Cricetulus griseus: one gene and its partners. The protein of the gene in region 1 purifies or fractionates together with the protein of each later gene. This does not show direct contact. Links are inferred from orthologs where the notes say so. Each region holds a gene or a part of one and is shown on either strand. Other genes may lie near its edges. The genes, in order: Iqgap1, Diaph1 and Myl6b.

Region 1 (3,652 bases):
CATGGCCAGGAGCTGGAGGGTGCCAGGCCTGGATTCCCTGGTGTTTTACAATGTACACTGTTCCATGAAGTCCAGTGTGCTGCCTGGTCCCTTGTGCTGTTTACTAGGTTAGCTTGTTTGTGCTTCGGATGTGGTGGCTTTGTTGTTCAGCCCCTTTTGTGAAGATACCTGTTGGCCTTGCGGGTGGAGATGGAGGGATGCAGGTCAGTCACTGGATCTCTTTACAGCTCCTGTTGGACCATCAGGACGCCATTGCTCCAGAGCACAACGACCCCATCCACGAGCTGCTGGATGACCTTGGCGAGGTGCCCACCATCGAGTCCCTGATAGGTAATGTTCTTAATGAGCCTCTGAAAAGCTGAGAGGGGACCGCATCAGGGGATTTAGTATCATTGTCTCTCTGATCTTGCGCCATATCAGAGTCTAGATACACAGTGGGGAACAAAACTAATATAGGCCCCACCTTATGAGCACCTGAGTCCAGTGAAATAGCAGATACTTTTAAATACAGAGACAAAAGTAATACAGATAATCAGAAAGTAAGTCTTATAGTTAGATTGTTGACAATTTTTTGAGACAGGGTCTCACTTTGTAGTCCTGTCTAGCTTGGAACTCGATAAGACCAGGCTGGCTTCACACTCCCAAAGATCTACCTCTCTTGGCCTCCTGAAGGCTGGGATTAGAGGTGTGCACCACCGTGCCCAGTGAAACGAGTTTTTCACACTTTTATGAAGTTACTGTGTTATGGACCCTTCTCCTCAACCATTTGCCTCAGTTTCCTTTACTTCTCAGTAACAACTGCTCATCACACTGAAGGGCATTGGTTTATCAAGAGTCATACTGACCTGCATTGTATTTATTTGAATTATTTTCCCTCCAAAGTGTTTTTTTATTACATTGACTCTTTCTACACTTCAAAAACTGCAGGGGAAAGTTGTGGCAATTTAAATGACCCCAACAAGGAGGCACTGGCTAAGACAGAAGTATCTCTCACGTTGACCAACAAGTTTGATGTGCCTGGTGACGAGAATGCAGAGATGGATGCTCGGGCCATCTTACTGAAGTGAGTATTGAAAGGGAGAAGGAAGCGGCTTAGAATCCAGTTCACCTGGAACAACCATCCTGGCCTCTCTTGCCCGTCACAGTGCTCATCACCCTGCATCGTGCTTGGCACAGGACTTACTTTGCTAACATACAATTACAGTCTTGGAACTCCTCCCCTGTACCACCTGCTATAGTTCCCTTGCTCCTTGTGCCAGTAACTGTCCCTCTGGGTGCTGTAGCAAGGCGCTGTGGGGTGACGATGCTTCAGATACTGCTCAGATCCTATGACAAGGAGGTAGAACACACAGCCATGTTCAAACCCATTCCCATCTCATTGCAGCACAAAACGTTTAATTGTGGATGTCATCCGGTTCCAGCCAGGAGACACCTTGACTGAAATCCTGGAGACACCAGCCACCAGTGAACAGGTACACATGAAGGTTTCACACTGGATAAGCTTTTCTATGATAGGTGCATCCCTGGGTGGGGATAGGGGCACAGGGAAGGGATTGGACCCTTGGGTGAGCATGGATCTGGCTATGGAACAGTAGTAAACAGGGCTCATCTGACTGAGAAAGTTGGTGGCTCCTAAATCCAGAAGGTGTTCTTAGGATGAAACATGAGATAGAGAATACAGGATAGATGAGAATTTAATCTGGGACAGAACATGTTGTCTATGTAGTAATTTAATGACTGTCTTATAGTTGTAATTATATGAAGTACCTTGGTTGTGTCTATAAAAGTACAGGGTGTGGCTCCAAACTTTAAGGTCCATTTAGAAAAATTATGATACATGCATCTGAAACCATAAGACCATTAGAAATTAGCTATAGTATTGATTATAAAAATGCCAGGGAACTGGAGACATGGCTTAGTGGTTAAGAGCACTGATTATTCTTCCAGAGGACTCGGTTCAGTTCCCAGCACCCACATGGCAGTTCACAACTGTCTGTAACTCCAAGATCTGACACCCTCACACAGGAATATATGCAGGCAGAACACCAATGCACATAAAACAAAAGTCAAAAAAGATTCCAGAAGTTTCTGGCTATGGTGGGCATGCCTTTGATCCCAAAGATATCTGTGATTTCAAGGCCTGCCTGGTCAACATAGCTAGTTCCAGGCCAGCCAGTGAGACTCTATCTCAAAATAAACAGAAACACAACAACAACAACAAAAAACCCCACAGTTTTTGAGGTGGAGGCCAGTGAGGAACAGTGTATCAGGAAGTCACAACAAAAGAAACAGAACCCAAGCCACACTTAAAGACTGGGAGGATCTGGGTGTGATGGAAAACAAAAGAGCAAATTCTGGGGAAGAGAGCCCACAGGAATAATGGGACCAAGGAGGGAAGAACACAGTGAGATCTGGGGTGAAGATGGGCGGGGTAGTTATGAGAAAAGCAAAGCTGAGGGTGGAATTATCTAAAACTCTAGAGCTCAGACTGGGGTGAGGAGATGGTGATGACAGCCATGGATGATAGCCGTGGATGCCAAAGTCAGAAAAGACGATGAAGTTGTTACAGAATGATCAGTTGGGCTTGGCAGTACTCAATCTCTGCTCAGTTGAGGCAGGAAGATTACCAAGTTCAAGGCCAGCCTGGGCTATCTGGCAAGACCTTGTCTTGGTTGTTTTTTCTTAAAAAGTAAGGGAAAGGGTAAGGAAAGACAGCAGAGTCTAAGGAAGGTTCCTTGATATGACAGTATTTGCAGTGTGCTTGGGAGCAGAGGGCAGCAGGAGCCTGCTCCAGCTCAGGCAGTGTGTCAGGAGCATTAGCAAGATTTCACTGGGCACTGCTATTGGTGTTAATTTGTGTAGTTATGAGCCACATTTTGACTTCAACATCCTAAATTAAGCTGGGAAAAGGTAAAGGATTTCTTAGCTCATAGAATCTAGTTTTCTGGCTACACCTAGTATCAAGAAAGCACAGCATCTGGATTCACAGTTGTACTTTGCTAGGTGAAATGAGGTATCTCACTTTGATGCTGTTCCTTGTCTGGTAGAGAGAAGACATTTACAGCAGACTTGGAGAACTCTGTATTCAATTGCAGATATGCTGTGAGTCCAGGTTTAGGGCTCCTGTGGTGAACTTACCAAAAAGTATTTTTCTTTTCATCTGTAGGAAGCCGAACATCAGAGGGCCATGCAGAGACGGGCTATCCGGGACGCCAAAACCCCCGACAAGATGAAAAAGACAAAACCTGTGAAGGAGGATAACAACCTCAGCCTTCAGGAGAAGAAAGAGAAAATTCAGACTGGCCTAAAGAAGCTAACAGAGCTTGGGACCGTGGACCCAAAGAACAAATACCAGGAACTCATCAACGACATTGCCAAGGTACTGCATGTGGGAACAGTGGTGGCCCGGCCTTGTTTACAGCCGCATCAGGAGCTCATGAACAGACAGTAGCCACTCAGGCCACAGCATAGCTTCTCGTATGCAGAATAGTACAGTCTGACTCTGACATCAGGACTTCAGTAGAGCTTCCAGTGTCTTGAGTTTTTCATTGCCTTTAAAGAATCCTTCAGGGCTTTTTCATAATTGCTATGGAATATATAAAGTTGGTAAAGTTTGTGTGAATCACCCAAACCAGGGTTCTAATTTCACTGG
Region 2 (3,752 bases), on another chromosome or scaffold:
TTACTGAACCTGTCGTTAGGTGTGGCTCCTGCACCACCAGCAAGTCAAATTATCAGCCAAAAGCCTGGAGATTTAAATGAAAGACAAGATGTCTAGTCGTTTGTGCTAAGAGAATGTGTGTGTGTGTCTCTTTATTACAGGGAGGGAACAGCCTTATATACAGATGTACAGCACAGTGGAAGAACCCAAGGTGTAAGAGCTCATGTTTTCCCAGGTGTGGTTGATGCCAGTAGGGCAAGGCCAGGACTAGAAAACAGGATGTACCTGTGGTTATTGGCTGACAAGCAACTCACAGAGACCCCATGGGGGCTGGGGCCCAACACTCGGGAATATACACTTGAAATCCTTTTCTTTACTCTTAAGGGGTAGTCAGTCCCTCTCTAAAGATGCCATGTCAGGTAGATATAGCCAGGAGAATGAGAGAGATCATGTAAAGACCATAACCAGAGAACTCATGCAGGCACGTTTGGTTTATGCCTGTGGGGGAATCTTGGTTAAAAATATGGTGTGGCTGTCAGATTAATCTGTGTGTAAATTTTCTATCAATTATGTTACAAGTCACTTCAATGTCCAGAGTGCAAATTTCTTAAATGGTGATACCAGTAGAGTCTATCATGAAATTGTGAGGAATCAGTGAGGAAAGATGTTATGTTTAACATATAACCTGTCCTATAGTTTGTGCTGGGTATGTAGTAACTATTTAATTGCTGCTTAGGCTATTGGCAATAATTAGTCTGTCTACATAAACAACTAGAAAGCTAATCTAGGATTCAATGCTGAGTATTGTAACTCCATAGCTGGTCTAGATTGGCGCTGGCTTGAACTCAGTTCTTGGCACATAGTTTCTATATCAAGTAACTCATTTTTTACATTATTTTTTAATGCACTTACTGCTTGGTGTCATATACATACAAGTTGCATTATCCCACAAAACTTAGCCTTAAATTTTCAACCAAAATAACAGTGTTCCTACGATAAGAGTCTTGGTTCAGACAATGAAATTCGGCCTGGGGTGTGAGGTGGTCTAGCTCTGCGTGGGAGCCCAAAGGCTTCCTCTGTTCCAACCGCCAGGGGGCAGCACTCCCCGCTGCGGTGTGGAAGAGCAGCACCGCCCACTCTCCGTCCCCCCCTCCACGTGGGTCCGAATGGTTAGGCCCGCCGGGCAGGTAGCGCGCTTCCGCGGCGTCCCTCCACCCCCCTCCCCTGCCCCATTGGTAGGGGCTGCGGGTCCGGGCGGAAGTGGGGCAGGCGGGCGGGAGCGAGGCGTCACCGTTGTATATTCATGAGGCGCGCGCAGCCCAGCATGTTAATGAGGCGGGGCGCGGCGGCCGGCTAAGAAGGCTGCTGGGCGGCGGCGGTGGTTGCTGGCTCGGGCTAGCCGGGCGCGAGTGGCGTAGACCAGGGGTCCCTGGCCGGAGCTAACCAGAACATGGAGCCGTCCGGCGGGGGCCTGGGGCCCGGCCGCGGGACCCGGGACAAGAAGAAGGGTCGGAGCCCGGATGAGCTGCCCGCGACGGGCGGCGACGGCGGCAAACCCAAGAAATTTGTGAGTGTCCCTCCCACCCTGCTCCTCAGCCTGGCGGGGTGGCCGCCCTCTGAACTCGGGCGACCCTCGCTGCCCTCCGGGGGCGTCTGCCTGCCGCTGGGGAGCCGCCCCCGCGCCTCTCTTCCTGGTTTCGCTGAATCCTGGGCTTCGCGGTCCCACATTCTCCTCCTCCCGGACCTCGGGAAGCCCGGGAGTCCCACCTGGCCCTCGCCTCGGCCACCTTGGAGCTTCCCTCGCTCTGGAGTCCGCCGGCTCTGCGCTCCCGCCCCCGTGGCCCGCGGGCTCGCAGCCTCACTTCCTTTCTTCTGCCTCTAGTACCCCCACACATCTTTTTTTTTTTCTCTAAATTTCTTTTCTTTTTTTTTTTTTCTTTTTGATTCCCTGTAAGCTGTTTTGGGTCCATTTTCTCTTCTCACTCACACCCCGTTTGGGTTATTCCCTTTCTTCTAAAAGGTCATTTCCTTCCTTACTAGTGATCCCTTTCACCTGCTAACTTTCCTCCCGCCCTGTCCCCTTCCAGGGCTCTCAGCCCGGTGTCACCTGGTAATGCTTCCCCGCAGGAATGTTACCTGACTTGAGTCCTGTCTTCCCTCCTCCTTTGGACGTTTGTCCTTGTGATTACGGGTTCTGCCCAGGTCCTGTGGTCACTGGGGCATGGCAGTATATGACTTCCCAGTATTTCCCTATCCACAAACCTGTTTCTTACTGCCCTGTTGCTTATCACTTCAGAGGTTTAGAACTTTTTTTCACGATACTATGCCCTTCATGACCCGAGATGATGATTAATCTCCCTCTTGAACGAGTTAGACTTCAAGTCCAATAAGTTTGTGAGTAATTTGCTTTTTATACTTTTAAAAAATAACAACCATCTCCTTAACTCGCCTTTGGCCATCTTCTGTGTCTCTAGGTTCCTGACATCCCCTTTCCTATCTGTAGGAGAGTATGTATCTTTCCTTAGGTGCCGGTTATTGGGACTTTCGAGGTTCATGTAACGCGGTATTTTACTACCTGTTGCCTTTCCTAACTAAATCCTCTTCTGTCTCCAGGGAGCTACTTTGCTTCTTCCTGTAAAAACTTTGAAAGATACTGAGCAGTCAAAAAGGGAGTTTCTGCTCAGTTGTTGCCAGTTAATAACTAGATACTTAGTTTGCTCTTCCAGGTAGCACCAGTAATCTCTGAAGCTAAATGGCTTGAATTCTTCTTAACTCTTGCTTTCTTTCACGCACCCCCACCCCCAGCATTCTGATCCAAGTCCCCGAGTTTGGGAATTAAACTGATGAAGTGATGGAAGTGGGAAGAATATGTTTTGTGACCTGGAGGGTTGAATTAAAAGAGTGACTGACTCATCTCTTCCTATTTCTGGCAAGACCAGGTGCTCCTGTTCTGTCCTTTCTAGTGACATACAGGGTGTCAGTAACTGTTTGATCTGGCAAATACCTTTGTAGAAATAGGATCCTAGGTGACCACAGCAATATATCCTTAGGTTCTTTCTTTAAAGGTAGGAATTGACCCTCCAGTTTGAGAACTTTCCTTCCAAAATGTAAGTTTTAGGGCCTGTATTCTATTTCCGTGTCTTTTTGTTTTGATTTTGTTACCATGGATACTGTTTGACCTTCGTCCATACTGGCTATTTTTGCTGATTTGTAGTGACCTCTTATTACTGTTTCTTTTTAAAGTTTCATGTGTGCTTTTTTATTTTTTCTAATACCGTGTCTCATAAAATTGGTGAAATCTACTGGTGTGTGTGGTTAGGTGAGAAATCCCAGGAACCTCAACTTCTTTCCACCTGTTTTTTTGGCACAGTTTTGTGTTCGCTGAGTGGATTTGGCCCAGAGTTGTTGATAATTTGCTTTATAGAGGGTGGAGCTGAACCTACTTCTCTTTTACTGAGGTTCTGGTTTTAACCCTTACATTACTGAATTTTAAGAACTGGGTATTGCAAGTAGTGAGGATTGGAAGGTTTCCAGGGAAGCAGGCTTCTTCACATCCTAATTGCTAAATATAATCTACCTTAAGGCATCAGGATATTCTTACTGCTTTTTATGAGAACTATGAAAATGAGAGACAAGGAGCATTGCAATCCACTTCTCTTTGTCTCTGTATATATAAGTGTGTGTGAGTGGGTGGAGTGGGTGAGATTGCTGGGGTGCTTTTGTCACCCAGGGCTCAGTTTTCTTGAACTACTGGCTAAGACCAATCTCAAAAC
Region 3 (2,776 bases), on another chromosome or scaffold:
GCCTCCTGAGTGCTGGGATTAAAGGTGTGAGCCACCAACGCCCAGCTCCGCTTGGCCTTTTCTTCCTTTTTTTTTTTTTTTAATATGGAACACTTCACAAATTCGTGTGTCATCCTTGTGCTGGGATCATGCTAATCTTGGCATTGTTCCCATTTTAGTAGATGTGCTGCTGAAGCACAACTGAGCTCCATTTCCAGCCTGTAACTTTCTTCGCGCCTCCCCACAACAAGGGTCTCAGTATGCTAGCCAAGAATGACCTTAAATTCCGATCCTCTACCTCCTGACTACTTCTGCCTACCACAGAGTGCTGGGATCACTCCAGTTTGTGTGGTGCTGGAGTGGAATCTGGTGCCTGTGGAAGACGGGCAAGCCCTTTATTGCTGAGCCTTGCTCTTTTACTCTCTGAGACACTCACTAAGTTTCTTGGGGGACAGCCTTGACTTCACTCTGGCATCTGCTGCCCTTGAACCTACAGCTCTATCCTAGCAGCTCTAACAACGTTGGCTGTCCTGGGACTCAATACATAGACCAGGCTGGCCTCAAACTCACAGACATCTGCCGGCCTCTGCCTCTGACTGCTGGGACTGAAGATGTGAGCCACCACTCATGGCTTAGCAGTTTTCTCTGTCTCGAATGTGTCATTACCACTTCACTACATCCCCAGCGCTTCCTTTTTTATTTTCCTGTTGAGATGAAGTCTTACTAAATTGTTCTGGCTGGCCTTAAATCTGCCTGGCTGTTATGCCTCACTGCAGTATCAGTTTTCCATGACAGAATATTGGTAAGGTGATGAAGGATGCTGGGATGGACCTCAGAACTTCAAAAGCTGTTGAACACAGGGCAGGAAAACATCCTGAATGCTGAAGGGATAAAAAATCACTATGGCAGGAATGGATGCAACTGGACCCTACATCTCAATGACCTCACTTTTTTTTTTTTTTTTTTTTTTTTTTTTTTTGAGACAGGGTTTCTCTGTGTAGTTATGGAGTCTTTCCTGGAACTCTTTAGACCAGGCTGGCCTTGAACTCACAGGGATCCGCCTGCCTCTGCCTCCGGAGTGCTGGGATTAAAGGCATGCGCCACCACTGCCTGGCCTCTCACCTCTTTTTAATCTCCAGAGCTCAAGTCCCGACGTGTGGACTTTGAGACGTTCCTGCCCATGCTCCAAGCAGTAGCCAAGAACCGGGACCAAGGCACATATGAGGACTACCTAGAGGGGCTTCGCGTGTTTGACAAAGAGGGCAATGGCAAAGTCATGGGAGCAGAGCTCAGACATGTTCTTACCACTCTCGGTGAGGCAGGGACCAGAACTGTGGGATGGAGAAGGGGGTGGGACCACAACGCCTGGAATGGGAGTGCAGTCCTGCAATCATGGGCAGGGACTTAGGGGGACTGAGTTGAGGAGGCAGAATTCTGAGGGGCTCGCTCATCCAGAGGCTACAGTGTCCAGCAAGGAGCAGAGAAGAGGGAATGAGGTTGGCAGCCTCATGTCCCCTTTTGCAAGCCAGACTTGTGCTGATTCCCTGCAAGTTTCAACTCTTGCTTTTGTTTCGTGGTCTGTCAAAGCTTTCACCAGTTGCAAGGCAAGGCTGATGTGGGCCACATGGAGAGAAAAGGGCAGGGTGGGAGGGGGGCTCGGGCTAGTGAGGCAGGAGCTCTAACTGTGTTTGGGGTTCAGGAGAGAAGATGACTGAGGAGGAGGTGGAGACTGTCCTAGCAGGCCACGAGGACAGCAATGGCTGCATCAACTATGAGGGTGAGGGGGCACGAGCAGACCTTTGTGTGGGTGGGTGCACCCTCGGTTACCTAAAGTTCCACGGATTGCCCTTCAGTCAGTCTCAAGTCCTCTCGCCTCCTCCCGTGCAGCCTTCCTGAAGCACATCCTAAGCCTGTGAGCTCCACAGGTAGTCCTCCAGCCCCTAGTGTCGCCCTGAGAGGAAAGGCTCCTCGACCAACCAGATAGACGACCAGGCAGTGCGATTTCCCGTCGGTCCGTCCGTCCGCAGCGCGAGCGCCGGGGCTGGACAACTTTCTCCTCCCCAAGCAGTCCAGCGGGGTCGGATGCTGGATCGCCCCACCTTCCGGGCGGCCGGAGGCGCGTTCCTGCCACTAGGCGGCCCTTAGAGCTTTGAAATAAAGACCTGGCTCCTGCTTTGGTCTCCGACTGTTTTCTGTGGAGGAAGGGGAGGGAGGGAGGTGGGTTAGTCCTGTCTTCGGCCAAAAAGCCCAGATTCGCTGCTCTTTGCGCAGCTCGGAAGAGTGGCATCCAGCGAGTCGCAGCCCCGCGGCGGTTTCTGAACCGAGGGCGGGGCCGCTCGCCGCGTTACTAATGTAGTGGCGTCATCGACATGGGCCCCGACTAGCATCCCTATTGGACGGAGCGGCAGACGGTGACGTCATACGCCCTGGGACGTGCTAAGGCTAGGGCTGGGTCGGGAGTCGGAGCCATTACTGCCGGAGAAAGTCCCGCAGAGCTGAGCGGCCAAGATGGTGGGTCCCGGGCATCGGGAGCTTAGGGGGCTGTGGGGAGAGGAGGGGAGCCCGTGGGTGGGTGCGGGCAAGCTCGGACGCGGGGGTGGGAGGCCTAGGGCTCCCTCTGCCTCAGCTGCAAAAACGGGAGTTGTGGTTCAGTTTGTAAGGCCGGGATAGACTTGAGGTGCTCACCAACCCCTTCTTCTCCGAGCAGTGTGACTTCACCGAGGACCAGACCGCAGGTAGGCAGTCTCTGACCCCCAACTGAGGTCACCCTCACCGAGAGGGACCCCCTCTAGCATCT

What was found.
Region 2: the proteins of Iqgap1 (region 1) and Diaph1 purify together in Homo sapiens (affinity purification with western blotting; 3 studies listed by BioGRID and IntAct, with this or other methods). This does not show direct contact. The link is inferred for Cricetulus griseus from reciprocal best matches to the Homo sapiens genes IQGAP1 and DIAPH1.
Region 3: the proteins of Iqgap1 (region 1) and Myl6b purify together in Homo sapiens (affinity purification with mass spectrometry; 3 studies listed by BioGRID and IntAct, with this or other methods). This does not show direct contact. The link is inferred for Cricetulus griseus from reciprocal best matches to the Homo sapiens genes IQGAP1 and MYL6B.

The regions. Positions count from the first base shown.
Region 1 is NC_048596.1:116,873,674-116,877,325, forward strand, and holds part of Iqgap1 (ras GTPase-activating-like protein IQGAP1), read left to right. Parts: intron 1-227; coding exon 228-330; intron 331-927; coding exon 928-1,063; intron 1,064-1,384; coding exon 1,385-1,472; intron 1,473-3,166; coding exon 3,167-3,379; intron 3,380-3,652. UniProt on the Homo sapiens protein: Plays a crucial role in regulating the dynamics and assembly of the actin cytoskeleton.
Region 2 is NC_048595.1:199,706,894-199,710,645, forward strand, and holds the start of Diaph1 (protein diaphanous homolog 1), read left to right. Parts: upstream 1-1,429; coding exon 1,430-1,546; intron 1,547-3,752. UniProt on the Homo sapiens protein: Actin nucleation and elongation factor required for the assembly of F-actin structures, such as actin cables and stress fibers. Binds to the barbed end of the actin filament and slows down actin polymerization and depolymerization.
Region 3 is NW_023276806.1:129,401,281-129,404,056, forward strand, and holds the end of Myl6b (myosin light chain 6B), read left to right. Parts: intron 1-78; exon of another isoform or gene 79-178; intron 179-1,118; coding exon 1,119-1,292; intron 1,293-1,678; coding exon 1,679-1,756; intron 1,757-1,866; coding exon 1,867-1,895; 3' UTR 1,896-2,152; downstream 2,153-2,776. Other genes in the region: Myl6 (myosin light polypeptide 6), read left to right, coding at 2,488-2,490, 2,687-2,714. UniProt on the Homo sapiens protein: Regulatory light chain of myosin. Does not bind calcium.